Linked DNA regions of Coturnix japonica. The protein of the gene in region 1 interacts with the protein of each later gene in a pairwise test. Links are inferred from orthologs where the notes say so. Each region holds a gene or a part of one and is shown on either strand. Other genes may lie near its edges. The genes, in order: MID2, TSGA10, SYT17, UTP25, GEM, HOXB9 and SLC25A48.

Region 1 (4,173 bases):
CACCATCACCACGAGCTCTCCCACCCCTAAACTCCATCAGATGGCAGCACCCAGGCATCAGCTCCAATGGGTCCCCACCCAGGGTAACCCACAGCAGTGCCTGACCCACCTCCAAGCTCTCTGCACCGTGGGATGCTGAGCTCCTGCCGTGCACACACAGATGTACATGTGCATGTTCCCTCTGCTCCCACGCAGACCCTGGGCCAGCTGATGCTTGTGACGTTCCAGCTCAGCTCCAGGAAGAGCTCAGCCTGAAGTTCATTTTTTCCCCCCACTTTGGTCAACCAAACTCAGAACTGAGTTTGTATATTCAAACGCCATTTAATTTCTAGGCCGTTCCCCCCAGCGCGTGGCTGGCGAAACAAGACCCAAACGACCAGAGCCAGCAATTAATTCCCCTGTGAGACAGAAATTCCAGCAATAAATAATGGTAATGGTATTCCGCAGAGGCACAGAGCCCCTTTCATTTCCCAACCCTGAGCCACGTCATGGGAAGCCGGCGAGTCGGGCTGCTCCTGGCAGACACCCCACGATGTGCTGCGCCGTGGGGCCTGCAGGAAGCATCTCCTGCACTGCTGTAATGCACCAGGCTCAGCCCCATTTGGTGCAGCCCCAGCTGTGCACCGGGCGATGCAGTGATGCTGGGGCATGGCTGGGGACAAGAGCTCTGAACGTACACGAGCATCGCAGGGAAAGGGATGTGGGCACAAGGAGGGGGCAGGAATGGGGCATCCCAGATGCTGGGTTTGCCTGATTGGGGAGGAACCCACAGATGGATGGACGGAGCCTCCAGGCTGCACAATGGGCCATTTCCTAAGAAAGGGCAGCGTGTCCAGCGGCACAAAGGGCACTTATTCTGCCAGCCAGCAGTGTGGGAGGAGAGCTGTCACAGCCCATTGGGGCCACCAGAAACCCCTCTTAAGCCCCAAACCCCACCACCCCACACTGCAGCCCTGTCCCAGCACATCCCAGAGTTGCCACGAGGACTGTGAGTGGGGGGGATGGAGGGCCCCCCCTCCGGGGCACAAAGCCATCACATTGCTGGAGGTGACAGCCAAGGGAGGCTCTCGCTGGCCTCCATGCAGTGCCCTCTACTTGGGAAAAGGCAAGCTGGGGGCAGGCCGTAGCCTGCATTATTTGGAGGGAGGAGAAATTTGGCAAGAGCTGGGCACGGAGTGCAGCACAGCGTTGGTTTGGGGGTTGTGGCATCTCCGGTGAGGCGGCACAGCTGTCACCCTGAGGTGTGACACGGCTCCGGGGTCAGGAGCTGACCCGAGAGGCTCAAAAAGAGAAACCCCCAACCCCTAAAACCCCACATTCCAACCACCCTCTGCCGTGCAGAAACCCACAGCGTGCTGGAGAACGCGCCCCCCGCCGCCCCCCACCACCAAAAGGAGAGATGACCCCGATACAAACCAACGCAAAGTCACCGACCCATCTCACGCGCTCCGGGGCCGATCCCATGCCGCCTGCCGGCACACGGACAGCAGCACACGGATCCGGAGCCGTACGCTCGGAGCTCCGGAACCACACCAGCACCTGCCCAAGCCAAGGCAGCTTCCTTCAGCCTTCCTCCTCATCGCTGCGTACTTCCCATGGGCGGCCTCGAGGAGCCCAAATCCCTTCGTGTCGGCCGAACCTCCCCCACCCCGAGCGTTCTGCGGCCGAGCGAGGAGCGCTCTTTAGAACGGAGGGGGGAAAACCCGAACCCGGAACGCAGCAAGGAGCACCTGCAGCCGCCCGGCAGCGCCTCCCGCATCTCACGCCCCGCACAAACCCCGCAGCGCTGCGGGACCCTCCGGGACGGGGGGTTGGGAGAGGGAAGAGGGCAGCGGGTTCGGGCACCGTACGGTGTTGGGGAGCGTCTTATAGAACTCGGCGCTGCCCTTCGGGACCGGCAGCACCGCACGGAGCTCAGCGCAGCGCCCGCGATGCCCGGTGCGCATTTCTCCGCGCTCCGCCGCGTTTTTGGGAGCCGGGAGAAGAGCTCCTTTCACCGTCCGCTTCCATTTCAACTTCAGCGGGTTGGGGGGCAGCGGATCTCACGGCCGAACCCCGCCGACCGGCTGCGGCAAAAACCGGCACCCCCCCACCCCAAAACATTACATTACATTAAAAAGGCAGCGGGACGGTTCCGGGGGAAAAGGGCCGGCACGGAAGCACGGAGCCGCCCGCCCTATAACCGGATGGCGGAGCCCCATAAATCCTACAGGAACCCCTAAAAAAAGCCCAGGGCGGGGCTGCAGCCCCCCCTAACCTCCTCTTTATTTCCCTGCGGTGCCCCCACGCGATCTCGGTGCCCCCCTTCCCCTTACCAGCGGGCTGCGGCAGCCTCCCCGCCGCTGCCCGGGCATCTTGGAGGCGGCGGCGGTGCGGGGGAGACGGCGGCGGCGCGGGCGGGCGGCGGCGGAGCTGCGGGGCGGGGGGGGAGGGAGAGGCGGGACCGAACTGCTGCCCGCCCCGCCGCCCCCCACCGCCCCGCCCGCTCCAGGTGAGGCCGAGCCGGGCCGGGCCCGACCGCCCCCGTAGGGCTGGGAAACGAAGGGGAGATCGCAGCAGCGGAGCCACCGCGCGCCCCATCCTCACCTTAAATCCCTCTCCAGCACCGCTCAGCGAGGACGGTTTTCCTGATTGCAGCCGAGCCACATCAGCCCTTATTGCATATATCCATGCAGAAAACAAGTGGCCCCGTCGCAGCCCTCCGCTCGCCCCCCAGACCATTTCCCTATGGGAGTGCTGCCTGGGCCCCGCGCTGAGCTGCCGGTGGCAGAGGTGACCCTGGGCCAGCAGGCACCGAGTGGCGCTGCGTGGAGCCGGCAGGGCAGCTCCGTGTCAACACAGCGACCGCTGCGGGGTGAGTCACATTCCGTAGGGATGAGGAGATCACCCCCGGCTGCCCCACGTCTGGATGTTTTGGAGTCACCCTTCCCATGTCGGTGCATTTGGGTCAGGAGGTTCCTTGCTTTTCACACCCAGCGTGTTGCTGGGAGCGGGGGGGTCCCGGTGTGCGTTAACATCCACATCCCACCAATGGGAAATGAAGGTGCTTCAGTCACACCGCGGGCCTGGGGAGCTCTGTGAGTAACTAACAGCTCTAAAGCACGACTCGCCCTCTGACATCTATTCTTATGGTGGAAAAAATATATATACATATAAAATCCTTTTAACATCTGAATCCCTCTTCCAGAGCAGCTCTAGTGATGAGCAGGGCCAGATGAATTCCCCTGATATCATCACCTTTTCTTCTTGTGTTTCGGTGGCTTCGTGCTTTCCACGTCTCCCCAGCACCTCCCTCACCTGCTGCCTGTCGCTCTCTCCTCCTTTGCCGCTGCTCGGGGACGGGCAGTGGATGCTTTGCACCACCTCATGTTGAGCTCTGGAATTTCACAGCCCGCTCCCAATTTCCTATGCTGAGCAAACCGTGGAACAGCCGGAACAGGCTGTGCTGGCTCAGCACCCATTGCCCAACACCTCTCTGGGGATCGGTGGTTTAGCCATGCGCTTCCATTTCACCATCAGCATCTGAAGCAGGTGTACATCCCTGTGCACAGCTCTTGCAGGAGTGGCAATGGGCTGCGTTGGCAGCACTGTGCCTGTGTGTAACCCCATCCTGCTGTCTTCCACAGGAGGGAAATGCTCGCCTCTGCTGGGAGCTGGCATGGGATGTGGCTTTCAGAGAGCCTGCAGCCCCCTGAGGGAGCAGCATGCAGTGCTATGTCTGATGGAGGGCTGTAATGCCCTCAAGACCCCTCCCAGCGTACCCACACTCCCCAGCCCTGCGCTCCTGCAGGATGCTGCAGGGCAATCTCTGTGCCTTGCCAAAGAGAAACTGGCTTGCAGCAGCCACAACAGCCCCACGAGACCTACCCTGACCTTACAGAAACATTCCCACCCTTCCCAGCTCACTCAGAACAGCCCTTTTGCATTTACTCACATCTCCCACTGGTTTCAACCTCAGGTACCAGCAGGTAAAGCACACCCAGCTGTTAATAATGGAACAAATCACACATGTATTCAGTAAGACCTGAGTCTGACTTAGAATGAAATCAGTAACATTGCTCCCAGAGTGCTGAAGACCTGCACTTTTCTCCCATCACCTACAGACCTCAAAATACTTAAACCCTTCTTTCCTTCCCTGCCCTCCTCTCTTCCTTCCTTCTTTCATCTCTCCCT
Region 2 (3,500 bases), on another chromosome or scaffold:
AACCTAAATGACTTCTATGAAGAAATGAGGGGAGAACAGTGTATGTCATTTACTTAGATTGTAGCAAATAATGAGAAGCAATAGTCATAAGTTGGAAAAAGGAGTGTTCAGTCTGAATACAACAGCAGTGAAGCAGTCTCCAGCCTTTGAGATTTTCAAGAACTGGTTGAATAAAACCCTGAGCAAGCTGTCTTCAGAGCTACTTTGTCCAGGGCTTTAAACTGGAGACTGCCTTGCAATCTGGATTGTCTTATGGTTGCATGTTACTAAGACTTGATACTCCACACAAGAAAATGTAATTATACTGTTCTATCCAGTAGCAGTTACTTAAATGTGCAATTGTTAGCTGATAGATACAAATAGAAAATGTAAGCATTAATAAAATGAATGCAGTTCTTGATTGTATTTGCAGTCTTAGTACAACTTGATTTAAAATAGATAAGCATTGATTTATATAGTACCTCTTTCTCCTAGATCTTGTGGTTATAGGTTTTGTTCATTTTCATTTCTCCCTTTCAGCCTTTTAGATTTTGCCAAGGATATAAGTGCAGTTATAAGAGTTATAATATTAAATTGAATGCATTTGTAATGAACAATCTGCTGACTACTCTGAGTGGCAGATCAGCTTTAATCTTATGTTTGATGTATGAAGCATAATGACTATCAGGAATAGCCTTGTCTTATTTCTTCAGTTTATTTGATATCCTTTGAGGGCAATATACTTCAGTATGAAATTTATGGCAGTAATACTGAGAAAGTCGCTGTATACCAAGCGCTAATTGACTTGATCTTCAGCAATCTGACTTTTATTATAGTAACACAGAAACTAGTCCTTCATTCACAAAGGAAAATACTTTGAATGTAAAGTGTGAATGTTTCAGTAATCGAATACAGCTTTCCTTAAACTGGACATTTGAGTAAATAGGCATCTATATGTAAATCAGCTTTTTATTCCAGCTTTTCCTGTTTAATTAATGTTTAATTGTATTTATAGTTAGATAGTGAACGGTTAGAGCAGATGTCCAGAATGACTCTAATGAAAGAACACGTTGATTCTCTGGAAACAGAGGTAAAAATATTGGCAAGAAGATCCCAGGACACTGAAAATGAACTAAGCCACCAGAAAGATGAATACATTTCACTGAGGTCAGTGAAAGTATCTAATTGCATTGGTTTGAGTAGTGTCAGCCTATGTTTTTTGGGTTCCATTTAGCTCAAAGGGATGAGAACTTATGACAGTTGTGCTTGTAAGACATCTTTCTGTTCTGGAATAAAATGTTTTCCCCCATTGCTTATTTATATGTAAAATGTTGACTTGTTATTATGATATAAAGAATATCATCTTCAGTGAAAAAGCAAAATGGTTTGGATTAGGAACTTCCTATTAGAAGCCGCAGCAATTGATGTGTTTTGATGAATTATGTTTTAATTACAAATATATAAAAATCATTTTCCTTTCCTTTGTTCTTAAAGAGACGAGCAAACAAGCACTAACTAATGAGTCTCGTGTTGAGTTAGTTTCAAACATCCATTTATTAGTCTTGCAGTTTTTGTAGGAGCAGAAATAAAACTGAAGCCTTGCATAGAATTTTTGGCCTCAACTGCTGCTTGACCAGAGTTCCTAACCATGTTAAGAAACATAAAGTGGGACTAGACTCAAGTAAAGCTGTAGGGAAGAAACATAGGTCAGTGAGGTCTTGATGAAAAGGACCCTTTAGTGGCTGGAGAGGAAGATCAAGCACATGAGAAATGCTTTTTACAAGTTGTCAGATTTATGAATACTGTAAAAACAGAGTTCTTGAAGATCAGTTGCTACTATTAAAAACCAACTTAAAATAGGTCTAGAATTCCAATGTGTGTTCTAAGTAGAGATTTTTATTGCAATTATTTCTAACAATTTTTTGGTCTCTCTGTTGTAAAAAAATCTTACTTTACTGTGACTCTATATAGTAGTATTTAGATTTAATGTCTGGAGATTAAGGCTAACGTTGATAAAATATCCTCAGTAGTCTAAGATAAATGGAAGTATCTTGCTTTTACTTAACTTTTGCCATTTTAGTGGCATTCCAAAAAGGAATTAAGTCTGATATGAATATCTGAATTATCTTCCTTTTTAGTCTAATGAAGGAAAAGACGGAGCAGATTCTTTCAGAGGCACAGCAAAGCCTTACTAAGAAAAAATATGAAATTCAACTTAATGAAGAGAAAATTAGGCTTTTGGATGAAAAAATTGGTGAGTGACAGATACAGTTTTTCTAATAAAATTCAATTGGATAAATATGTTGCAGGTTTTTCTTTTGTTTATAATATGTAAAAAGAACAAAATTATTGAAAACAAATAAATAGACTGTGATAATGTTAATGTTTCATGTAAAAAGTCCATTTTCTTTCATTGTTGGAAGGCTTTTATATTTTAAAATTATATAAAGAAAGCTCTAAGTTTTGATCGCTACATATACTATTGTTTCAACAATGTATGTTGATGTTAATGTGCTGTGTCTGAGCCTATCAGCTGTATTTGTGATCCACTAGGTTGGTGGTTGTACCTCTCAGCATCAGTAGATGATGATGTAATCAGGAGAACATCTTATGCAGCGTATGGATCATTGAATCACAAGGTTGGAAAGGACCTATAAGATCATCTAGTCCGACCGTCCTTCCTTTACCATACCTACAGAAAACCCCTAACCCATGTCTCCTAGCTCCCTATCCAGGCGCTTCTTGAACACTGCCAGGGATGGCGACTCTACCACCTCCCTTGGGCAGCCATTCCAGTGCCTGACCACTCTCTGAGAAAAAAAGTTCCTTTGTATGTCCAGTCTAAACCTTTTCGGATACAACTTGTGGCCATTTCCTCGGGTCCTGTTTGTTGCCTGGCAGAAGAGGCCAAGCTCCTCCTCATCACAACCTCCCTTCAGGAAGTTGTAAAGTGCCATGAGGTCTCCCCTGAGACTTCTCTTTTCCAGGCTAAAATATGGAATGTTGTACCCTTTTTCTGTTAAGGCATTGAAGGAAGAAATGCAGGAATTACTCCTAGCTTGCCAGAGAATGAATTACCACTTCCAGAAATACAAATGCATTGTGCCTGAAGTCTTATTTTTTTCTATAGATCCAGCTGACATGATGTATTGTTAGATGCAGTATGGAAAATACAGCTATAAAATATCTTCATTACTTACAACTTTTAAACTCTGGTTACTCAGCTCTAAACCTCTAAAACTCAAATAAGAATTTCATTCAAAGCAAATTTAAACTTCTGAATGCTTTGGCTAAGGTGTTTAAGCCACTCCTGAGAAGCCTTGAGGAAAAAAAAAAGGTATTTTGTCCATATTAAAATCTACATATCATGTTAAAAATTTCTGGTTCCATGACATAGTGAAGTACTGTCTTAATGTTTGATAGGGGCATCTTGCATGTTTTAATCTTTCCCAGGAAATGTGTCCAAACTAAGCATATTTTCAGCCTTTTTGTTCTTGGAAGCTGAACTTTCCAGAATCTCA
Region 3 (4,273 bases), on another chromosome or scaffold:
TTTGCTCCAAGTTGGCCTGGAAATGAATGTTGCTATTGTGTAAATTGCTGCAATGGTGGAAAGAGAGCCGATGAGATCAGGTGTGTAGGTTCAGTCAGGAAAATCACTTTGTTAACAGGAAAGCAGCGTCTACTGCCTGTAACCAGAGTGGGTCAGCCCAACAGACCCAGCTGATAATTACCTATTTTCTGCTTCTGAGCAGCCCTGCAGAGTTGGTGGGAGTGTGTTTAACCTGTGATCTCTTCAGAGCTCCCCCTTGGGCTCTGGAGGGGTGCTGAGGGCCAGCTAATGTGGCCTGGGGCAGGAGTAGAGAGCCAGGGCCCTCCTCCTGCAGATTGAGTGTACGTGGAGCTGCTCTTTGGATCAGCCCTGGGCACCTTGTGAGCCCCTGCTGACAGCATCAGGCCTGCAGCGTTGGGTGCTGGTGGCTGGGGAGGCTGCAGGTTCACCCAGCTGGGCTGGATGTGGTGCTGTCACTTATGGTCTGCAGGAGCGTTGTGAGCAAGTGCTCAGCCTTGGGAAACCTCCACCCTGTTCTTCAGCTATCAGTCTACCTCTGTGCTATCGAAATTAGTTAATGAGAGAAGCAACAATGCTTGTGTAATTAGCACATTAATACCCTGAAGGAATCAGCATACTAATTACTTGACAGGATGAGAATAGAGGTCAGGTTCTCCAGAAGGGATGAGGAATGAGTCCTGTGGCTTCAGACAGCTCCATTAGGATGACAAAGCCTTTTCTATTTAGCAGTAACACCTCCAGCAAGGTGCTTTACCTTATAAGAATTCAAAATGCTTGAGTCAATGCTAAAACAAATGGCCCCTGCATTTAATGCACCTTTGTGTTTTATGATCCTGCTGTGGACTGTGTCAGAAGATTCGGTGTTCCTGGGATACTTTGCCTCTGCTAATTTAAGCTGTGAGTAATAGGTGGCATTTAGGACTTCCTGGTTTGAAATGGTTTTGTCGCTCAGGATTAAGCTTCATCCTCTAATGTGCATGAAATAAAGAAAAGGAAAACAAAAAAGTGGGGAAGAAACGGCTGTATTTTAGAAAGCGGGGAAGCATTTGATTTGGGGGCGCTTTTATGTGATTTTATCATGTTTGCTTTTGCTAGGGTAATAAATTGTAGCAGGCCGTTTGGCATAACTATTGCTAACCACATTTGTGATCTCTTCCCTTATGTGAGAGCCCATAAATAACACTGGCAGGCTGTGTACTGGTGGGGATGGGTGGCTTACAGCTCCTTACTGCAGCCTGAGAGGCAGTTCCCCAGGCAGCACAGAGCTGCCCTCAGGACACCAGCACCTGTTGGAGATGTGCCTCCAGGTGCTGGTGGCTTCACCTCTGGGAACTAATGGGGACAACCTGGGCAGCCACAGATGTCCTAAAGTGGGGGACATGAAGGTTTTGCTTGTGTGGCTAAAGGTGCTGTGGTGTGGAGAGGGCTGAGCCAGCACTCAGTGGACTGGTGTGCTGGGCATGCTGCAGTAGCACGAAGCTGCCTGCGTGGCTCATGGTGGCCATGAGAACAGAGCTTTGCTGTTCCCAAAGATAGCCCCAGGTCGTTTGGTAAGAAAAAGCATCTCAAGCACAGGCTGAGATGCAGTGCTGAGGGGTGCTGCTACTTGCAGAGGGAGCGTGCTGTTCTGTGCTAGTGCCCTGAACCTACCTGCTTGGGTCCTGGAGCCCCTGCAGGCGTTTGTTCTTAGAAGTCCTCCTCTTTCATGGGAAAGGTTTTAATCTTTAGTACTCCAGCCAGTGCCTGCGGTTATCCTGGCTTCAGCTTTTGTAGACTTTTGGTTCAACTTCCTAATGAGCTGTGGCTTTATTTCTCAAAACACAAGGTGCTTTTATGCCTGTCCAACAGGACACGCAGCCTTGGCCAGCATCAGGCCCATAATTACCAACCGCAGCTGTCTGCAGCTTTGTTCCACGAGGCTGGGCTAGCACAAAGGACAGGCGTTAGGCTTGCGTCTCTTCCTTGGTTACTTCCCTGGCCTTTTAACAAGTTATAATTACAGAAAATTGGTTCTGTATAAGCATCCCACTGACAGTCCGTGTGTGTGAGATTCGTATCTGTAATTTGGGAATGATACTGATTATCATTACAAGGGGTCGTTGACGTTTGTGTTTGAAAAATCATCCTCCAGATCCTTTGGAGGATGACATCCTTGTCATTCTTGTTCATTTACCCAAGTCAAGGCTGTTGTCTGGATGCTTCAGCATCCTGATTTGCTTGGACAAAGATTTTGGCCTTTCTTTAGTTGGTATAATTGTTTACCATATTCTTGCTAAATAGCAATGTGGATTTGTAGGTCCTGTTTATTTCAATTATATTGAAATCTGAGTACAACTTCTCTTTTATTCCTTCCAAACTGCCCAGCCTGTTTCTTGGCTTGATGAGCTGCACACTAAAAATTCCAGTGTCCTGGTTAAACCTTCCACAAAAGCTCTTCAAGAAACATCCTCAGAATGTCACTGACATCTCATGTGTTGGGGTGGCACAAGCACAGGACACAGCCATCCTCTGGGGTCACATTCTGCAGTGCTCGGGGTGGCTGAGCAAGATGCTTTCCTTGATCTGTCCCTGTTTCTGCTTCCCACAGTGTATGGGCACAACGTGAAGAGCAGCAATGACTTCATTGGGCGGATCGTCATCGGTCAGTACTCCACAGGTGCTCCCGAGTCCAACCACTGGCGTCGGATGCTCAACGCGCACCGGACGGCTGTGGAGCAGTGGCACAGTCTGCGCTCACGGGAGGAATGTGACCGCGTCTCCCCAGCATCCCTGGAGGTGACATGAGGTCTGGCACCTGCGGCGGCCGAACCGAACAGGCGGGCATGGCAGGGAACAAACTCCAACCTCCAAATCACCCAACCTCACTCCCACCCCACAGCAGCTCCATTGGACTGAAGCAGCTGCCAGTACCCACCTGGCTGCGTTGGCCTTTGTGCAAACCTCTGCAGCACCAGCCAACCATGTCCTGCCAGGTCCTGTGCCAGCAGCTCCTCGGTGGCACCGGCCGCCTGACTGGCCGGACCCATTGCTCCCCGCGCCCGGCACCGCTCTGCTGTTTCAGTGTCAGAGCAGCAGGTGGCAGGTGGAGGTGCCGCTGGACATGCCAAGATGGGGAAGAGTTCTGAGTTGTGTCCACTCTCCTTATGATCCAAATCCATGACTCGTCCTCTAGGAGATATACGTACCTGTGTGCTCTTGTTGGTGAACGTCATAATTAGACTAGGATGTTTTTTTTAAATGGTAGAAGCTGTGGTGAAGTCGATTCTGGCTCCAGTTTTGTCCTTGTACTTGTTTCAACAGAATTAAGCTCCTGTTACTTCGTGGCCAGCACATGCAGCCCTTGCTGTGCGGGGCCGACATGCTGCCAGCAGCAGTGTCTGCCACTCTCCATAGCAGTCTGTGTGCGTCCAATAGGTACTGTGATGATATAGCGAGTAAATGTCTCCAGTAGCATTTATACTTCTCAGTCCTACCTGATGTAGTGCAAAAGAAACCTGCTGTGGGGACTTCTGCAGTTAAGAATGCCCCCAATGCACAATTTTACTTCCCTGATAGACTGCAGTGACTCCTTCTGTGTTGTGTGTGTTTACTGAGGTAGTTTTCCAGGTCAGCACATGAACGTAGGTGTGGTCAAACTGTCCCATTGGTTGCTTCTGTACATTACTATTATTATTTTTTTTCCACGGCATATTGTCTGGTATGATGCAGGTTGTATATTTATTGACAATAAAAATCTATTTAATTGTGCCACACACCCTGAGGTGGTAACTGTTAGCAGAATTAATTCTTGCGTTGAGCTCAGTTATGTTTATGGTGCAAGTAAAGGCAAACCGGAAGGCTGGAGCTGGCCTTTCTCTGGGTTCACCTGCAGAAAGTTGTTTTGGTGGAGCAGGGCTGAAGCTGGCACGGACTTACCTGCTTGGTGGCCAAAAGCCCCATTCCTGCTGGGTGCATTCCCTGCCAGAGCACCCTGAAGAGATGGAGTCTGATGTGTGGTGTCTGCATGGGGCTGTGGGTCGCTGTGCTCTGCAGGAGCTGCCCTCAACTTATCACAGATTGTAAAAGATTGATTTATTTTAAACCAGCATTGTGGCTGTAGGAGAATCTGTGTCTTGCTTTCTGCCCATTCACAACCTATATTGAAGGGATGGCATCCACAAGAGAGAAGGGTTTGCTGCAGTCCCAGAAAAAGCTGTAAACTTAGGTTGGTTGCCAAGAATTAGAAGGGAACAGTGCTGACTGTGTTCCCAAG
Region 4 (3,500 bases), on another chromosome or scaffold:
TCTGCTTTATCACAACCTGTGCTCATGTCACTGCCCAGCAATGCAAAGTCTTCAACAGAACCATAAATTGAGGGCATTAAGCTCACTTGAGTCTTTACTGTTGACATTCCACTTCACCTGCAAGGAGTGGAAGCGCTAACTGATGTTTATCAGCATCAGAGCTTCAGGCAGAATATCACTAATCTTTTCTACTGCACAGTGCTTTCCTGTCCAACATTTGTTTTGGGATTTAAACTTTGAGTACTTTAGTAAGTGCTTTTTCTTTCCCTTCATTCCTTTTTTATTTTTACTTTTTTTTTTTTTGTTATAGGCAATCTGTCAAATCTGTTCCATTTTTATGGAGAGAATTCGACATCCTTTCTCTTGTCACCCAGTGCTTTGAAATAGCTGGTTGGAGCTGCAGTGTTGGCCGGCAGAAAAACTGTCCATATCGCTTGCAAATCTGTTCTGAAACTTTTGATCCTGCCATTAGCTGCGGTAGTTCTCAGGACTTTGTTATTTCTGTTTTAAAACAGATCCCTTTAAACAGCACATGGACAAAGAACTCGAAGAAAAAGAAGTAGAAAAAATATCTATGCTATCGAAGACTTCAAGTCAAAGCAAGGTAATGTTCTGTAGCAAGACAGAGTTTCTCGAGATGCTGGAATAAAAATACCTTTGTATACAAGTGAAGTAGTTTCATTTTGTTATTAGGTATTGGCTCTGGAGTTGTCAAGGTTTTGTCACTATTGCTGGTGAAGTGTTTCTTCTTTGCTTAATGCTGAGAGAGAGTTGAGATACAAAGTCTTCTGATATGTCAGCATATGGTGACACGTCTGAAAGTCAGAGCTTTTGAATTTGCTTTGTAGTCATGAGATCGAAGTTTTGGTGCTACTCTTGGCACTGGGTGGAAGCAGGGCTGATCTCTGGGTGGTGGCGCTGGGGTGCAGCGAGGTGCACTGCAGCTGAGTTCCTGGGGTGGCCACACAGAGTCTCAGCAGTGCTTGTGATGCACCTTCGTGTTCTTGATTCAAGGTGGTTCTAACTTTGTACACACTTACAAGAAGCTAAAGAGGAATTCGGTACTTTAGTTAATAGTGGCAGTAATATGCGGGAATAAAACCAACTCATTATTTGAAACAATGCTGTTTTTCAAAATATTCTTTTTAGACAAACTTTTGCTTCTTAACTTTCTCACATCTGATTTTGTTTTGGAGCATTGCCTCACATTCTGGTCACCCATATGTTGGGTGACATTCCTTGGAAGATACCCAATGGTGATGCAGTCAGAGCTAACTGGGATATATATTTTTTTCCCTTTTTTCTCTTTATTTATTTATTTATTTATTTATTTAATATGGTGGTCAGAAATACCAGTGCCACCTAAAGCATTGTATGGCGTATCTTTGCTTAATTTGATGCAGCCACATTATAGAAATAGAATGGGATTTGTGTGACAGGAGACTTAAAGGCAAGAGTTTTTTCTTATTACACTGAAAGGATTTGCCTATAAAATCAGTGCATTGGTGTGACTGACCTGCAAATGTCAGTTGGATTCCAGCGCTGGCAAAACTGACATCAGTTTATTCACCTGCAAAATGGTGGCAGTTGTAGCCATATCACTGCAAAATGCATCCAGATCTTGTGAGCTGGAGTTAGATGCTAAGAGACTGCTTATTGAAAGAAATGTTTCAGCTTTTATTATGAAAAGATAACTGCTCTAATTTCATGACATTGATTAAACAAGCTGTGATAATGTGCTTTAAGTTGTACTGGGTCTGCTCCATTTGACTCTTCTGTTTGCTTTTTTTCCTTCAGTGGCCAAGGCTGGGTCAGCTCACTTTCTCATCCTCTTTGGAGAAACAGACAACTTTAAAACCAGTCAAAGAATTCAATGTGAAACAGCTTTATCTTCACAAGACTTTAGAGTCCACTTGGCCGAAAGTGAATAAACATTTCTTGACCTCAGGAAACAAACCAGGTGATTCCTCTTTCACCCCATTACAAAGAGAGCTCTTCTGTATCATGAATACCTACAGGGACTTGTTCTATCCGGAGAGAGATGCTTTAACAAATGGAGAAGAAATCCGTCATGTTTACTGCTTACATGCCTTGAACCACATTCTGAAGGCTAATGCCCAGGTGCTCAGCAACAATGCCAAAAAACGTGACCAAAAGCCAGGGACCGACAGTGACGACTACAGGGATCAGGGGCTCACCAGACCTAAGGTGAGAGTGCTTCAGAAATGCGATTCCCTGCCTGCTTTGGGAGTCTGGTCAGACTATGAAAATGTCTGAGCAGTTTACTGGAAGGTATTTCTGTTGCTGCTGTTACTTGATGTGTTGCAAGGCACGTGACTTTCCACATCTCTTTGGTTGTGCCTGGAAGACTTTCTGCCTCAGAGTCCAAAGTATCGTTGTGCTGGGGCTCATGTCATTAATCCACAGCACCCACTGGTTAATTATCAGGTAGATTCAACTTGGACTAGTCTGCCTCTTGTTGTGCCAACTGTCTGCTGAACAGTTTCAAGTCTGGGTTTCAGTGTTTTCTGCACTCCTGACAAAGGCTTGCTTTTGGTTTCTGTGTTGACTTTCCAGGAGTGCTTTGCAGAGGTTGTTGCCATCCATTCAGGAGCCAGACTTTATCCTTGTCTGCATGCTGAGGGAGCTCATGTTTGCTTGGGGAACTGAGAGAAGCGTGTGCTTGTAATTGTGCTGGGTATACGAGATGGAGAACCAAACCGAACTTCAGGCCCCTGCATGTTTGTGAGCACACTGTTTGCCAGCATGTTCTCTCCTTGCCATATGTTAGAATTAGGCTTATTCTGCTTCCATGCGGATCCATTTGTATCTGTCTTTCAGAAACAGATCAGTGAAGTGCAGTAAGGAAGTCAGAAGCTAGGGGACTGTTTGAGGGCAGAAGTACATGCCATGGCTGCAGGGTTTAGACCTATCTGGGAGGTCTTATTTTGTCACGTAGGCACAGTGGTTATGTCAGGGAAGGAGGGTGATGCTTGTTTTGATTGCTGGGAGGCCCAAATGTGGGCACTTCAAAGACAAAGCAGTTACTTAACATGCTCAGCTGTGGATATTGATGTTTTTTGGGTTGTTCAGTTGTAACTGTTGATCTGTGCAGGTGCTGATAATAGTGCCCTTCCGGGAATGTGCTTTGCGAATTGTGCATATTTTCATCAGTCTTCTTGAAGTGAACGAGAAAAGAAAAATAGATGTAAGTAATAAGAAGCGCTTCAAAGGGGAGTTTGGTTCTGACCCAGACGAGAAGCCCCCCAACCTGAAAAGACCTGAAGATTATGAAGCCGTCTTCGCTGGCAACATTGATGACCACTTCAGAATTGGTAATGACCCACAGAACATGAGTTTTGCTTATAAAGAAGTGAGGGGTAATCTAACAGGTTCTTCCTTAATGTCTGGGAGCCATCGGGGCTGGTGAGAATTGGGGCTCTGAGGTATTTGTGCTGTGTCTGCAGTGGCATCATGAATACTTCTGAAAATATTCCATT
Region 5 (2,654 bases), on another chromosome or scaffold:
TGTAACCAACCTGATCTAGCTGTAGGTGTCCCTGTTCATGGCAAGGGAGTTGAATTAGATGGCCCTTAAGGGTCCTTTCCAACTGAAAAGCTTCCATGATTCTATGATTCGGATCAGGGGCAGAACATCTTCAAGTAGTGTGGTTACGTACTTGTAGCCTCTCGCTGTGTCATGGAGAACAAAGAAGTAGTCCTCTAAATGTTGTCCTCTGGTGCAGATGGATCTTGTTCCCATGCCAATGCTGGATCAGTCAAAGAAACCATTATCCAAACTTGAGCTTACAAACTGGAAATATTATTGCAAGAGATGATGGTCTCAGGACAGCCAATTCACAGAGGGGAATACAGCTGCTCCAAGGGATTAGTTTTGCAACTAACTATAAGATTCATCTGACTCATGAACACAGATGCCCCTCTTGATTAGCTTTGTGCTTTGAATCCTTCAATTTTAAGCTGTGTCAAGCCTGTGCTCTTGTTTACAGTGTTTGATTTTATTTTAAATACAGAGTATTTTTGGCTGAGTCTTTTGCTTGGTTGTAGATTTCTGGCTTCGAGAAAAGCCTGTGATTACAATTTGGGGAAAAGTTCACTCCACTAATACCCAAAAGAAAGTGTATGAGGCAGGAGTTAAGGCATGGTCCTATCTACAAGCATAGCTGGAACAGACTCCTCACACAGTGCAGGGAAAGGTTCAGTATTCTGAGAAACCCTAAGCCCAACATCTTTCACTGGCCAGCAACACAAGTCTAGAGGGGGATTTGAGCCTCACACTACTCATCCAAATGTCCTTGGATCTGGGGGGAAGAAGAATTAGTATTTGAAGTGGAAACTAGACTGAGAATTTCACAGCAAGGATTGATTGTGATTGAGTGGGAACAGCCCCTCCAGATCTAGGCAGAACTTAGTCACGCAGCGCTTATAATCTAGATATGGGTCATTTTGGTTTCAGTACAAAATAAATAACTGCTGTGGTTTGTTGACTGCTTTGCTTTTTGACATCAAAGGTAATGTGGGAAACTGTGAAATGGGAAAGAAATGGGATGCAGCAATCATTTCAGTCTCAGCAGCTCCCGTCTCACAAAACCGTGCCCTCTTTGCTTGGTGGGCTGTTAGCTGTATTGCTCTCAGCAGCAGTGACTGTTCACCCGTAAACTGTCCCCGCTAAAGTGAAAGCAAATATTTTCCATTACTCAGCCTCACTGGACTCTGCTGCTCCCGTGGGGCAAATGTTCAGCCTTTGGTTATTTCTTCCACTGGTTCTATTTTCTCTCTCACATAAGACAAAGACAATATCAATGAAAATAATAAACATCTCATCTTCTGATCTTTGTCTGCTTCATATATCATGGAAAGTAAGACAACCAGTAATGAACAGAAGGCAGGTTTAGTGCTGATGGAAATGTGGAAAGAACTGAACATGAGCCAGCACAAAACTTGGCTCACTAACTTGAGCTGTGAAAAAATTATACTTAGTAAGCTATTTGTTTTTTTATAATGTACGTGATGTCACAAAATAATATGTTACCAACTTTTCCATTTTTCTCTTACAGAAGACACATATGAAAGAACCCTGATGGTGGATGGGGAGGGTGCAACCATTGTACTGCTCGACATGTGGGATAACAAGGTACAACATTTATTTATACATACTAGTTGAATGCTGAAAGAAAAGTACACATGAATGAGGGCTAGTATGAAAAGTAGTTATCTTTTGGGAAAGAAAATATGTTTTTTTATACTTCATCATTAGGAAAAACACGGGATCAATATCCTCCCCAAAGCAAACCAAGCACGCCTAACGGCTCTGTGTAGTGTGAGCCTGAGAAGAGCAAACCTCTTCTTTATTTTTTTAATGATAAGACAAAACATTCAAGACATTTTCTAAACAGTGTTCATTCCGATCTAAATCTAGTATAATGAATTATCAGGGGCAAATTTCACCCTCCTTTATGCTGAAGTATTCATGTGGTCACCACTTTGGAATTGCTTTTAGTACAACTGTGATTCAAACCATATCCAGTGCAGTTACAGAGGGAATGTGTTTAGATTCTCCAATGTTATATTTTCTAAGCAAAATCTGTCTGGGCATAACAGTGTCTGATTGTTTGCTTTGAACAGCGTGAAGGAGAATGGATTCGAGACCACTGCATGAAAGTGGGAGATGCCTACTTGATTGTCTACTCCATCACAGACCGAGCAAGCTTTGAGAAAGCTTCTGAACTCAGAATACAGCTCCGCAGGGCTCGGCAGAAAGAAGATATTCCCATTATTTTGGTTGGCAACAAAAGTGACCTTGTCAGGTGCCGCGAAGTTTCAGTAGCAGGTAAGGAAAATGATGAGGATAAAAACGTTGATGAATTAAAAACTCTGATGAATTAAAACTCTCTCACACCCTTCATTTCACTGGCCTGGGCAGGTGCTGCACAGCCTTTCAGGAGAGATCTGCTTGGTGCCTTGCTCTGAGATGCTAAAGCATCCATCACTCTGCTTCATGCAAATGAGTAAAGAGCTTGTGCCACGGTCCCAGAGCCCGAGGAGTCCTAAGCCCATAAATAGGAATAGAAAGATATCAGGGGAAGCTACTGTTGACTCTCAAGCTCTTCAGTCAGTAGAATCTCTTCTTATGCAGATTTCCCCAAGGTTTAGGTGATATAA
Region 6 (4,002 bases), on another chromosome or scaffold:
TCTAATATGCAGAATTAAATATTAAAGAGGAAGAAAGCTGTTAATAATTGATACTGTTAATCCTGCTACCCATCTTTTAATGGCAACGGAGGGCTCTGCTTCATAACGCATTTTTATTTGGTCGGGTTTTATTTTCTTTTATTTTTTCGGTCGCATCTCGGATCGTTAAAATCGGAGGCATTTGAAACGCGGGTATTTTATTTACTGACTGTATACACCCTCCTGAATGGGCGAGCAAATGAGGGGAGGCTCTGGCACATGGTTTCCTGCAAACCTAGCAAATAAATTCACAGATCCCGGTGCCATAACCGGCCTAGAGATTCATTATTGTGAAATACTTTCAAAAAATTGAAAGAGTCAGGGAAATGGGTGGGAGTGCTCGCTGCAAAACAGCTCCGTCTCCCAGCCCTGGCAGCCTCTCCACATTAGCCCAAATTAAACTATTATTTAAAACAAAATATGCGTCGTAACCACACGCCATAGAGAAACCACACTGCATCCTCTTAGCTCTGGTCCCTGCGCTTACTTAGGACTTAATAACATTTTCTTGGACGAGGCTTTTCTATATTGAATTTCAGGGACATTGAGCACAGAACCTGGATATTTCATTCTCTCCGACCATTCACCTCCCGCTTGCAGTTTGTTCTGGATCTCTGCCCAGCACAATAGAACAGGACTTTCTTTTTGTGTGTGTGTGAGTGTGTGTGTGAGTGAGTGTGCACGGTGCAAGCCAAACGATAGGGGAAAAAAAGAATGCCCCCGCACCATCGTGCACACGGAGGGGGGAATACACCGCGTTTTCAGTACTGTTGCTCCTACACTTGGGTGAGGGGTTGAGGAGGGGGAAGGGGGGGTTGAGATGGGGTGGAAAAACCAAAATGAAGTTAATTCACGGAATGACTGTGCCAGGGTGTCCTGCACACGCTCCGCACGCTGTACCTTTAGCGGGGGCTTTCTCTGCCCTCTCCAACCCAACACTCCGCAACAACTTCGCCTTTCATTGCTCAAACATTCGCCGCGATATTGGAGCCAAATTTCTCCCTCTCAGCCCTTTCACCTCCCAGATGGACCCCGGGTACCAACCGAACCGGTGCGGGGTGAAGACCCCCCATTCTTACACACTCAAACTCTCTTGCGTCATTTTAATAACAACAACAACGCGTATTACAAGCAGCACTAACCATAATCTTATTAAACACATCAAAACGATTCTTCATTCTGCGTTTTAGGGCTAATAAAAGAGAAACCAGGTCACTAAAAAGGCACAGGCTGAAGTTTAGCTGTTCTCCAATCTGGCTACGTTACAAATAAAGAGCTAATTAAGCTGGAAGCACTCCCCCCTCTCTCTCTTTTTAACTCAACTCGGAGGGAGTTTGGAAATAGTGATATTTCGGCTTTGGAACAGTCAGACCCTGAAGTGAGGCACGAATATACGAGTAATTGGAAACAGAAAGAAGCGGAGGCGTGCAAAAAAAAAAAGAATAAAATAAAATAATAATAAAAGAAGAATAAAAACAAAAGAAAAGGGAAAAAGGAAACCAAGCAAAACGCTCACGACAAATACACCCACGGCAGCAAAAAAACAACAAACCCCGAGGTGAAGGGGAGCCCCGAGCCTTCAATCTGCCGGCGCAGCGCAGCTCAGCGGGCACGGAAAAGCCCCCGCCGCTGTTTACTTCCCCCCCACGTGAACTTTTCCTCCTCGATTTTCCCTTTCCCTTCTCTCCCCCGACCTCCGCTCTCCTCTCCCGGCCCTTCTCCCCGCGTTTCCCCGCACTCTCCCCCCCCTCCAGTCCCTCGGTTCTCTCCACCCGCAGCCCCGCACTCCCTCACTCCCTCTTACAGCAATGATCTCCGCTGCCGGAGTCAGCGTTCTGTAGGAAGGAGGACGGCTCGATCCAGCTTTTGTCCTCTCTGGACTCTGTTTTGGTCGGAGACGACTCTCGTTTTAATATTTATTTGTATTTCCCCCCAGAAACAATGCCACCCCTCTCCCCTCCCCACCTCTCCCCTTAGGTTGGCATCAGCCATCTGAGAGTTTTCTTTAAGCCCTGATTTTAAACTTTACGCAGCATTGTCCCCTTTTATTGCACCTCCTCCAGCTTTTATACTGTTTACTTCCTCACTTTTATAACTTACTTTGATCTGTTCTGTCTTTGTCTTCGCTTCCTTCACAAACTTTATTGTCCTCGAAGCTGGGCCTTTGATTGGAAACGATCCCTTCCCTTGCAGCAGAAGTTTCTAAATTGTACTCCTGTGTTCCCTGTTTATGGACATCCCCGGGACGGCCCAGCAGCGGCTCAGCCTTAACAGATCCCTGCCCGGGGAGGGTCTCTGCTCTGGGCACTGGATCCAGCCAGCTCCGTAGATACCTGCTATCAGATGGGACGCTTTGATGTTGAATATATGGATGGTAGACGGCAGGAAGGGTACCAGAAGAATGTGGATTCAAAGGAGTCCAGGAGGCGCTGAAAACAGGAGGTTTTGGCTGAAAACTACAAGAGGGGAATTCTAGATGTTCATTGTGCCCAGCTTGCCTGGAACTCGTATATTGCCCAGATGAAAATTTAGCTGAAGGCGAGTCTTCACTTTCATGACTTATAATAGAGTCGACATAGTAATTGCTAAGAGTCCCAGAAATGGACATTCTCAGACATCATACAAAGCACGGTTCAATGAAGGGAAAAAAAAAATATATAGGACAGATCTAGATTTGTACTCTACCCCCTTCTCGAACTTCCTAGCCAACAAAGTACAGTTGGGCTGCTGTGTTGTGAGCTCCCAGCAAAATGATTGGTCAAACTTTTTTCGTGTGCCTGATAAAGCGTCAGTCTCGGCGTAAATCAATCGAAGCCGAGGGGGCTGCGCTGCGCTGTCATCCGCCCTTGCATTCCATATCAAGGATGGATTGTTTTATGTTTATGCAATGTTGCAAAACGTCAGGAGTTTAGAAAAGCCACGAAACGGGCAGAGCTGGGGCTGATATCTCCCTACGTAGATTTTGCTGTTGTTATGGAGGGGGGGGGGGTCCGGGAGGGGGTCCGGGTTTCTTTTCTTTTCCTTGTTTTTTAATGAAAGATGCTGATGTATTCACTTCGCCTTTAATAACCACCATGGGGGAATGGGAGATAAAAGCTATTCTTTGCCACTCGGGCTCCAGAGTACGATAGCAAAAAACAAAAACCAAAAGGCAGAAAATACATAGAAATCAACCCCCCCTACCCCCCCATCCCCCCCTCCCTCCGACCCGCACCCCAGTGGTTTCGTATACACACATACTCGTGTGTGCATTACACGACATGCACACGATGCGCATACAGATGCGTTTTGGGAAGGAAAAGCGAGAGTCGTGGGAGGGTGTTGTAAATAACAAACCCTCTGGCATCGGAAAATGGATGCTAACGTGGTACGATCATGGGGGCAAATATGAAATTTCAAATGTGAGTGGCATATGCGTGACATTACGGCTCGGAGCAGCGAGCTGCAGACACGATCCCCCCCCTTCCTCCCTGCTCCCCCTCCCCATGCCCTCGGCTGAGTGCTTCTATCCGTATCGCATCCAAAAACCGCTCCGTGTATGAATTCATCTTCACGTGTTTTGCGGCATAATGTCGGGGTTGCTTTGCTGGAGCCGAACCAGCGTGATTCACCACGTCGCTGGAATCAGAAACCTTCATTGAACTTTACAAGCCCGGTGAAATACCGAGCGCCACTGACTCTGCTTTGTTGCGGAGTGCCTCCGACTTGCGACGGTTAAAGAGTTTAATAAAACTTACATTAGCTTTCTTGGATTTTTATAGTCCTGAATTTATTGCCTGTGGAAAAAGAAAGGGGGGGAAAAAAAAGGGATCCCTCGCCTTTCCAGTCACGGTGTTCCCCCCCCCGCACACCTCGCTTATAGCACCGCTTGTATGTGTGCGTGCCGCCTCCCCTCCACCCCCCCGCCGCCCTCTCCCCGACGGCGTTATCGGCGATCCGACTCATTTCGGCTTAATTTTAATT
Region 7 (4,048 bases), on another chromosome or scaffold:
TGTTCCTGTGAGCAGCTGCAGAGCCAGGCTGGGATTCAGAGCAGCAAAAATCTGCCTCCATTTGCAGCTCTCCATACAACAGTGCTGTCAGCACAAGCAGAGCCTGTGGCAGCTGTGAACTGCATGCACCGACCCTGATGCTGTCTGGTTGTGGACAGCCATGAGCTGCTCTGCTCACTGCTTGGCTGCAGCCTGCAATATCTTTGAGGACAAATATGCAGCTGCCAATTGTTTTAACAAGTGAATATCAAGCACTTTGAGCTTATGCACAAATGACTGTACATTTTAGGGCTGATTTATTGGGCTTTTTGGGTATTGCAAAGAGTTCAAATGCCCTGCAGGCTGCTGAGTCTGTTTGGAGGAACATCTTCCAGAGCATTGCTGTTTGCTCCCGGCATCCACCCCATCCTGCTCTTCCAGGCTGGGAGAGTTACTCTGAAGCCCTCATAACATTTGCTTTCAGTTAAGCTTTCAGCACAAAGATCATGTCCAGTGTTCTGCCTGAGATAGCAGATGTTCTGAATCTGGCGTGGAAACGTGTTGCTTGGTGTTAAAGAGAATTGCTGAGATTGATGATTAATGCTGCTGTGATCTGAATAATTAGCTCAGTCAGCCAGTTCTGGCTTTGTGAGAGAATGTGCATGGAAAAGGAGGATAACATCCTGTATAACTGCAAATATGGGATCCCATCTCTTCTCAAAGGAAGAAAGCAAAATCATCTGAAGAAACAAACAATGGATGAGTTTGTGTGTTGTCTCTGACATTTACATGGCCCAGAGCTGAGTGGGTGGATGGGGAGCAGCCCCTGCATGGGGGGCATGTGGTGCTCTGCACATTGATGCATCTCAGGTTTTGGGTGTAGACTGATCAGAGCTGACAACCACACACCTCATATTGAATCCCTTTAAGCAGTTTGTAGGCAAAAGCTCCCTTCAGCCAACCCAGCGATTGTGTTTCCAATGCACATGTACAGAAGGGAATGTTGTTGTAAGGACAGCTTGAATTGTTACGTATCTTTCTGTGGAAAATGATGATTATTCCAGTGCAGATTCACATATTAATTCTTTCACTGGCAGTTTCATTATATTTTATATAATATTATATTTTAAGGCACTATTTAGGTGTTCAGGAGTTCTTGTTTATGAACTACCCACCTATGTACCTATCAGAATATGCAGACAAAACACTTGTTGACAAAAACAATGTAATATTCCAGCAAGGCAATAGGAACCTGATACCATTCTTCTCAGGAAGCACCTAGGACTGATCCAAGGAGCTGCTATCTGTGGCAATCTGACTCCTGCAGAACAGAAAGCACTTCAGGCTGTCATAAATTACAGGTGAGACAGATGTGTACATAAGATGGGGAAGGTCCAAAGCATCTTTTGCAAGTCATTCTCCCTGCAGTCAAAGGAAGGAGAGCACAAGGATGATCTGGTTTAGAAGCAAGGGGATAGCAGAAGTGCTGCTGAGCATCTGGATGTTATTCTGGCATAAGACATGAGATTTTAATGACACAGGAGGTGAAATAGCCAGGCTGGGCTCCAAGTCAGGGATTCAGGAAGGAGAGTTCAGTCTTCAGTATCAGTCAAAGTTATGCCGGGAATGATCAGGGAAGGGTTTGAGATCAAAACACTAAAACCTGGTGTGTTCCTTCCATGGTTCTGTTGCACTGCTCAGGGAGATGTTGGGGGAGGGTGAGCTAAACTAGAGAGTGAAAATAACAGAGCTGGGCTCTGGAATCCAATGAAGGCAGGGCTGAGGGAGAATAGGGACCTAAGGAAATTGTGAATGCTGTGAAGAAAGAAGGAGCTGGGGAGAGATTCTTCAATGTTTCTCAAAGTAGGGAAGGGGGTGCATCTCCTGAAAAAACAGCAGGGAGATTTCAAAGGAACGGTAAACCAGCGAGAGATGCTCTTCACCATTGAAATCCATTAATTTGGGGGTATTTATAGAACAATCCCCCAACAATCTTTGGTTTTATCCTTCAAGAAACTCCCCTCAACTTCTGTCTGTTTCAAGAAGGAGCGATTCTGCTTTTTCGGCTCCCGGCCCTAACAGCTCCACCGTGAAAAGGAGAGCGCTGCATCTGACCCCGCTTAGCCGAGAGCGGACCGGCCCCAGCCCGGCCCCACCTCTCCCGGCCCTGGCAGCGGCACCGGAGCGGCCGCTCCCGACGGGACGGGCCCGTGGTAGGGCGGGGGCGGCCGCTCTGCGCCTTTAAGCCCCGGCCGTGATGTCACCGCCGCCGGGCTCCGCTCCGAGCCGTCCGCTCCGGCCCCGCCGGGACCCCCCCAGGGTCCCCTTCTACAGCGGCTCGATATGGGCAGCCTCCAGCTCCAGGACTTCGCCGCCGGCTGGGTGGGCGGTGAGTGCTGCTGGGCTGGGGGCGAGCAGACGTGGCATGTGGGAGCTGTGCGTCGGACCGGGGGTTGGGGGGAGGGGGGATGGAGTTGCGTGCTTTTTGCTCCCAAAGAACAAGTAATGAAGTTCAAGCAGCCGCAGCAGCATCTTGGCGGCGCACCGCTCTGCTCACCCTCAGGTGGGACACGGGGACACCGGTGCTGCCTCTACGCCGCTCCGTGGGCTGCGGTCCGGTGGTAGCAGCCCGTGCTCGGCCGGGTCCCGTCGCAGCCAACCCGCACTCCGCAGCCGCGCACACCCCTGGAGAGTGCCCCTCGGTGCCCCGGGGCTCCAGGTGCAGCAAACAGGCAGCGGGGAGGGACGGGGCAATGACCCGATTTGCAAAAAAAGAGAAAAAATGCTGATCGCAGCTGTCGGGAATAGAGATAAGAGAAAAGAAAGGAAAGGCAAAGGGCTGTCGGGACGGTCGCGCTGTGCTGTGTCTGAGAGTTCCGAACTTCACGTTCCTGCTGAATGTGACAGGTGGCAAAGCATGTGGGGATGGGCAGGGCGTGGGGCTGAGTGCTGCACTCACAGCAATTTGCAGCCTTGTGCTGACGCCAGGCTCAGGACAGGGGGGTGAGGTGGCTCACAGACCCCGAGCAGCCACACTGGGTTAAACAGGACAATCTAATACAACTAGAATCTCTGCCAGAATGCTCTGTGCTGGTCTTGTGCTGTTGATGTATACCCTAAGCACAGGGCAGGATATCACAGGTGAATGGCCACCAGCACTCAGCTGCCATTCAGGTTGGAAAAGACTTCTAAGATCCCCAAGTGTAACCCCAACCCATCCCACCATGCTCATTGACCATGTCCCCAGGTGTTGCATCTCTATGTTCCTGGAACACTCCCAGGAACAGAGAATCCCCAACCTCCCTGGGCAGCCTGTGCCACTGCATCACTGCTCTTTTGGAGATGCTTTTCCTAATATCCAGTGTGAGTTTTCATGTATAACACTGGGCTGAAGGTGGTCTCAGGTCAAGGTCTGGGACAGGGGGGATGCTTTAGTGTTTCATTCATCATTTCATAATGTGTTGACTAACAGCTTTGTGCTCTTTTTAGTCTGACCACCTTACAGGTGAGAAATTCCCAAGGTCACTAAAGGATTGATGTTAACCCAGCAAAGGGGATGTAGGTTTGCACTGAGACCTGCAGGTGTGGAGGCAGCACAAATTAGTCACCATCCAAGCCCATTGCTTCCTATCGCAGCGCAAAAAGTTCATCATCATCTTGCTTAATTCTCTGTTTTCATCCCCAGGAGCTGCCAGTGTGGTTGTGGGTCATCCCCTGGACACTGTCAAGGTAAAGCACTGATCCTTGCTCTCACATCACCACCCCAAAAGTCTCAGGTGGGGAGGTGGGCTCCTTTAGGGTGATGCTGCAAAGACCTTTGCTTTTCCCATTGCTGCAAGGCAGAACTTAGCCTGGGTAGAAAGGCTGTCATAGACCAGAGTGTTTTTCCTCTTTTCTTTTGGAGTGGCACAAAGGGCTGCCCTATACGTGTGCGGGTTCCTCAGGTGGGGGATTAATACAGAAAAGTAAAACTGGCCTTACATCATGTTGGGTTTACCAAACAGTTCTGCTAATGTTCAGTTGAACTTTGCCACCTGAAAAGCATTCAAGAGGTAGTGAGTGTGCTGTG

What was found.
Region 2: the proteins of MID2 (region 1) and TSGA10 interact in binary tests that used the Homo sapiens proteins (3 or more experiments, as listed by UniProt). The two-hybrid records come from large-scale screens. The link is inferred for Coturnix japonica from reciprocal best matches to the Homo sapiens genes MID2 and TSGA10.
Region 3: the proteins of MID2 (region 1) and SYT17 interact in binary tests that used the Homo sapiens proteins (3 or more experiments, as listed by UniProt). The two-hybrid records come from large-scale screens. The link is inferred for Coturnix japonica from reciprocal best matches to the Homo sapiens genes MID2 and SYT17.
Region 4: the proteins of MID2 (region 1) and UTP25 interact in binary tests that used the Homo sapiens proteins (3 or more experiments, as listed by UniProt). The link is inferred for Coturnix japonica from reciprocal best matches to the Homo sapiens genes MID2 and UTP25.
Region 5: the proteins of MID2 (region 1) and GEM interact in binary tests that used the Homo sapiens proteins (3 or more experiments, as listed by UniProt). The link is inferred for Coturnix japonica from reciprocal best matches to the Homo sapiens genes MID2 and GEM.
Region 6: the proteins of MID2 (region 1) and HOXB9 interact in binary tests that used the Homo sapiens proteins (3 or more experiments, as listed by UniProt). The two-hybrid records come from large-scale screens. The link is inferred for Coturnix japonica from reciprocal best matches to the Homo sapiens genes MID2 and HOXB9.
Region 7: the proteins of MID2 (region 1) and SLC25A48 interact in binary tests that used the Homo sapiens proteins (3 or more experiments, as listed by UniProt). The two-hybrid records come from large-scale screens. The link is inferred for Coturnix japonica from reciprocal best matches to the Homo sapiens genes MID2 and SLC25A48.

What each region holds. Positions count from the first base shown.
Region 1 is NC_029519.1:1,722,608-1,726,780, forward strand, and holds the start of MID2 (probable E3 ubiquitin-protein ligase MID2), read right to left. Parts: upstream 2,801-4,173; 5' UTR 2,587-2,800; intron 2,421-2,586; exon of another isoform or gene 2,316-2,420; intron 1,713-2,315; exon of another isoform or gene 1,417-1,712; intron 1-1,416. UniProt on the Homo sapiens protein: E3 ubiquitin ligase that plays a role in microtubule stabilization. Mediates the 'Lys-48'-linked polyubiquitination of LRRK2 to drive its localization to microtubules and its proteasomal degradation in neurons.
Region 2 is NC_029516.1:119,380,700-119,384,199, reverse strand, and holds part of TSGA10 (testis-specific gene 10 protein), read left to right. Parts: intron 1-994; coding exon 995-1,146; intron 1,147-2,117; coding exon 2,118-2,233; intron 2,234-3,500. UniProt on the Homo sapiens protein: Plays a role in spermatogenesis. When overexpressed, prevents nuclear localization of HIF1A.
Region 3 is NC_029529.1:8,130,744-8,135,016, reverse strand, and holds the end of SYT17 (synaptotagmin-17), read left to right. Parts: intron 1-2,608; coding exon 2,609-2,805; 3' UTR 2,806-3,773; downstream 3,774-4,273. UniProt on the Homo sapiens protein: Plays a role in dendrite formation by melanocytes.
Region 4 is NC_029518.1:20,186,199-20,189,698, reverse strand, and holds part of UTP25 (digestive organ expansion factor homolog), read left to right. Parts: intron 1-515; coding exon 516-604; intron 605-1,797; coding exon 1,798-2,208; intron 2,209-3,115; coding exon 3,116-3,335; intron 3,336-3,500. UniProt on the Homo sapiens protein: Component of the ribosomal small subunit processome for the biogenesis of ribosomes, functions in pre-ribosomal RNA (pre-rRNA) processing. Essential for embryonic development in part through the regulation of p53 pathway.
Region 5 is NC_029517.1:114,171,387-114,174,040, reverse strand, and holds part of GEM (GTP-binding protein GEM), read left to right. Parts: intron 1-1,549; coding exon 1,550-1,626; intron 1,627-2,117; coding exon 2,118-2,322; intron 2,323-2,654. UniProt on the Homo sapiens protein: Could be a regulatory protein, possibly participating in receptor-mediated signal transduction at the plasma membrane. Has guanine nucleotide-binding activity but undetectable intrinsic GTPase activity.
Region 6 is NC_029542.1:3,139,299-3,143,300, reverse strand, and holds the start of HOXB9 (homeobox protein Hox-B9), read right to left. Parts: upstream 2,801-4,002; 5' UTR 2,648-2,800; coding exon 2,140-2,647; intron 1-2,139. UniProt on the Homo sapiens protein: Sequence-specific transcription factor which is part of a developmental regulatory system that provides cells with specific positional identities on the anterior-posterior axis.
Region 7 is NC_029528.1:2,878,344-2,882,391, forward strand, and holds the start of SLC25A48 (solute carrier family 25 member 48), read left to right. Parts: upstream 1-1,248; 5' UTR 1,249-1,340; exon of another isoform or gene 1,341-2,022; 5' UTR 2,023-2,322; coding exon 2,323-2,368; intron 2,369-3,664; coding exon 3,665-3,708; intron 3,709-4,048.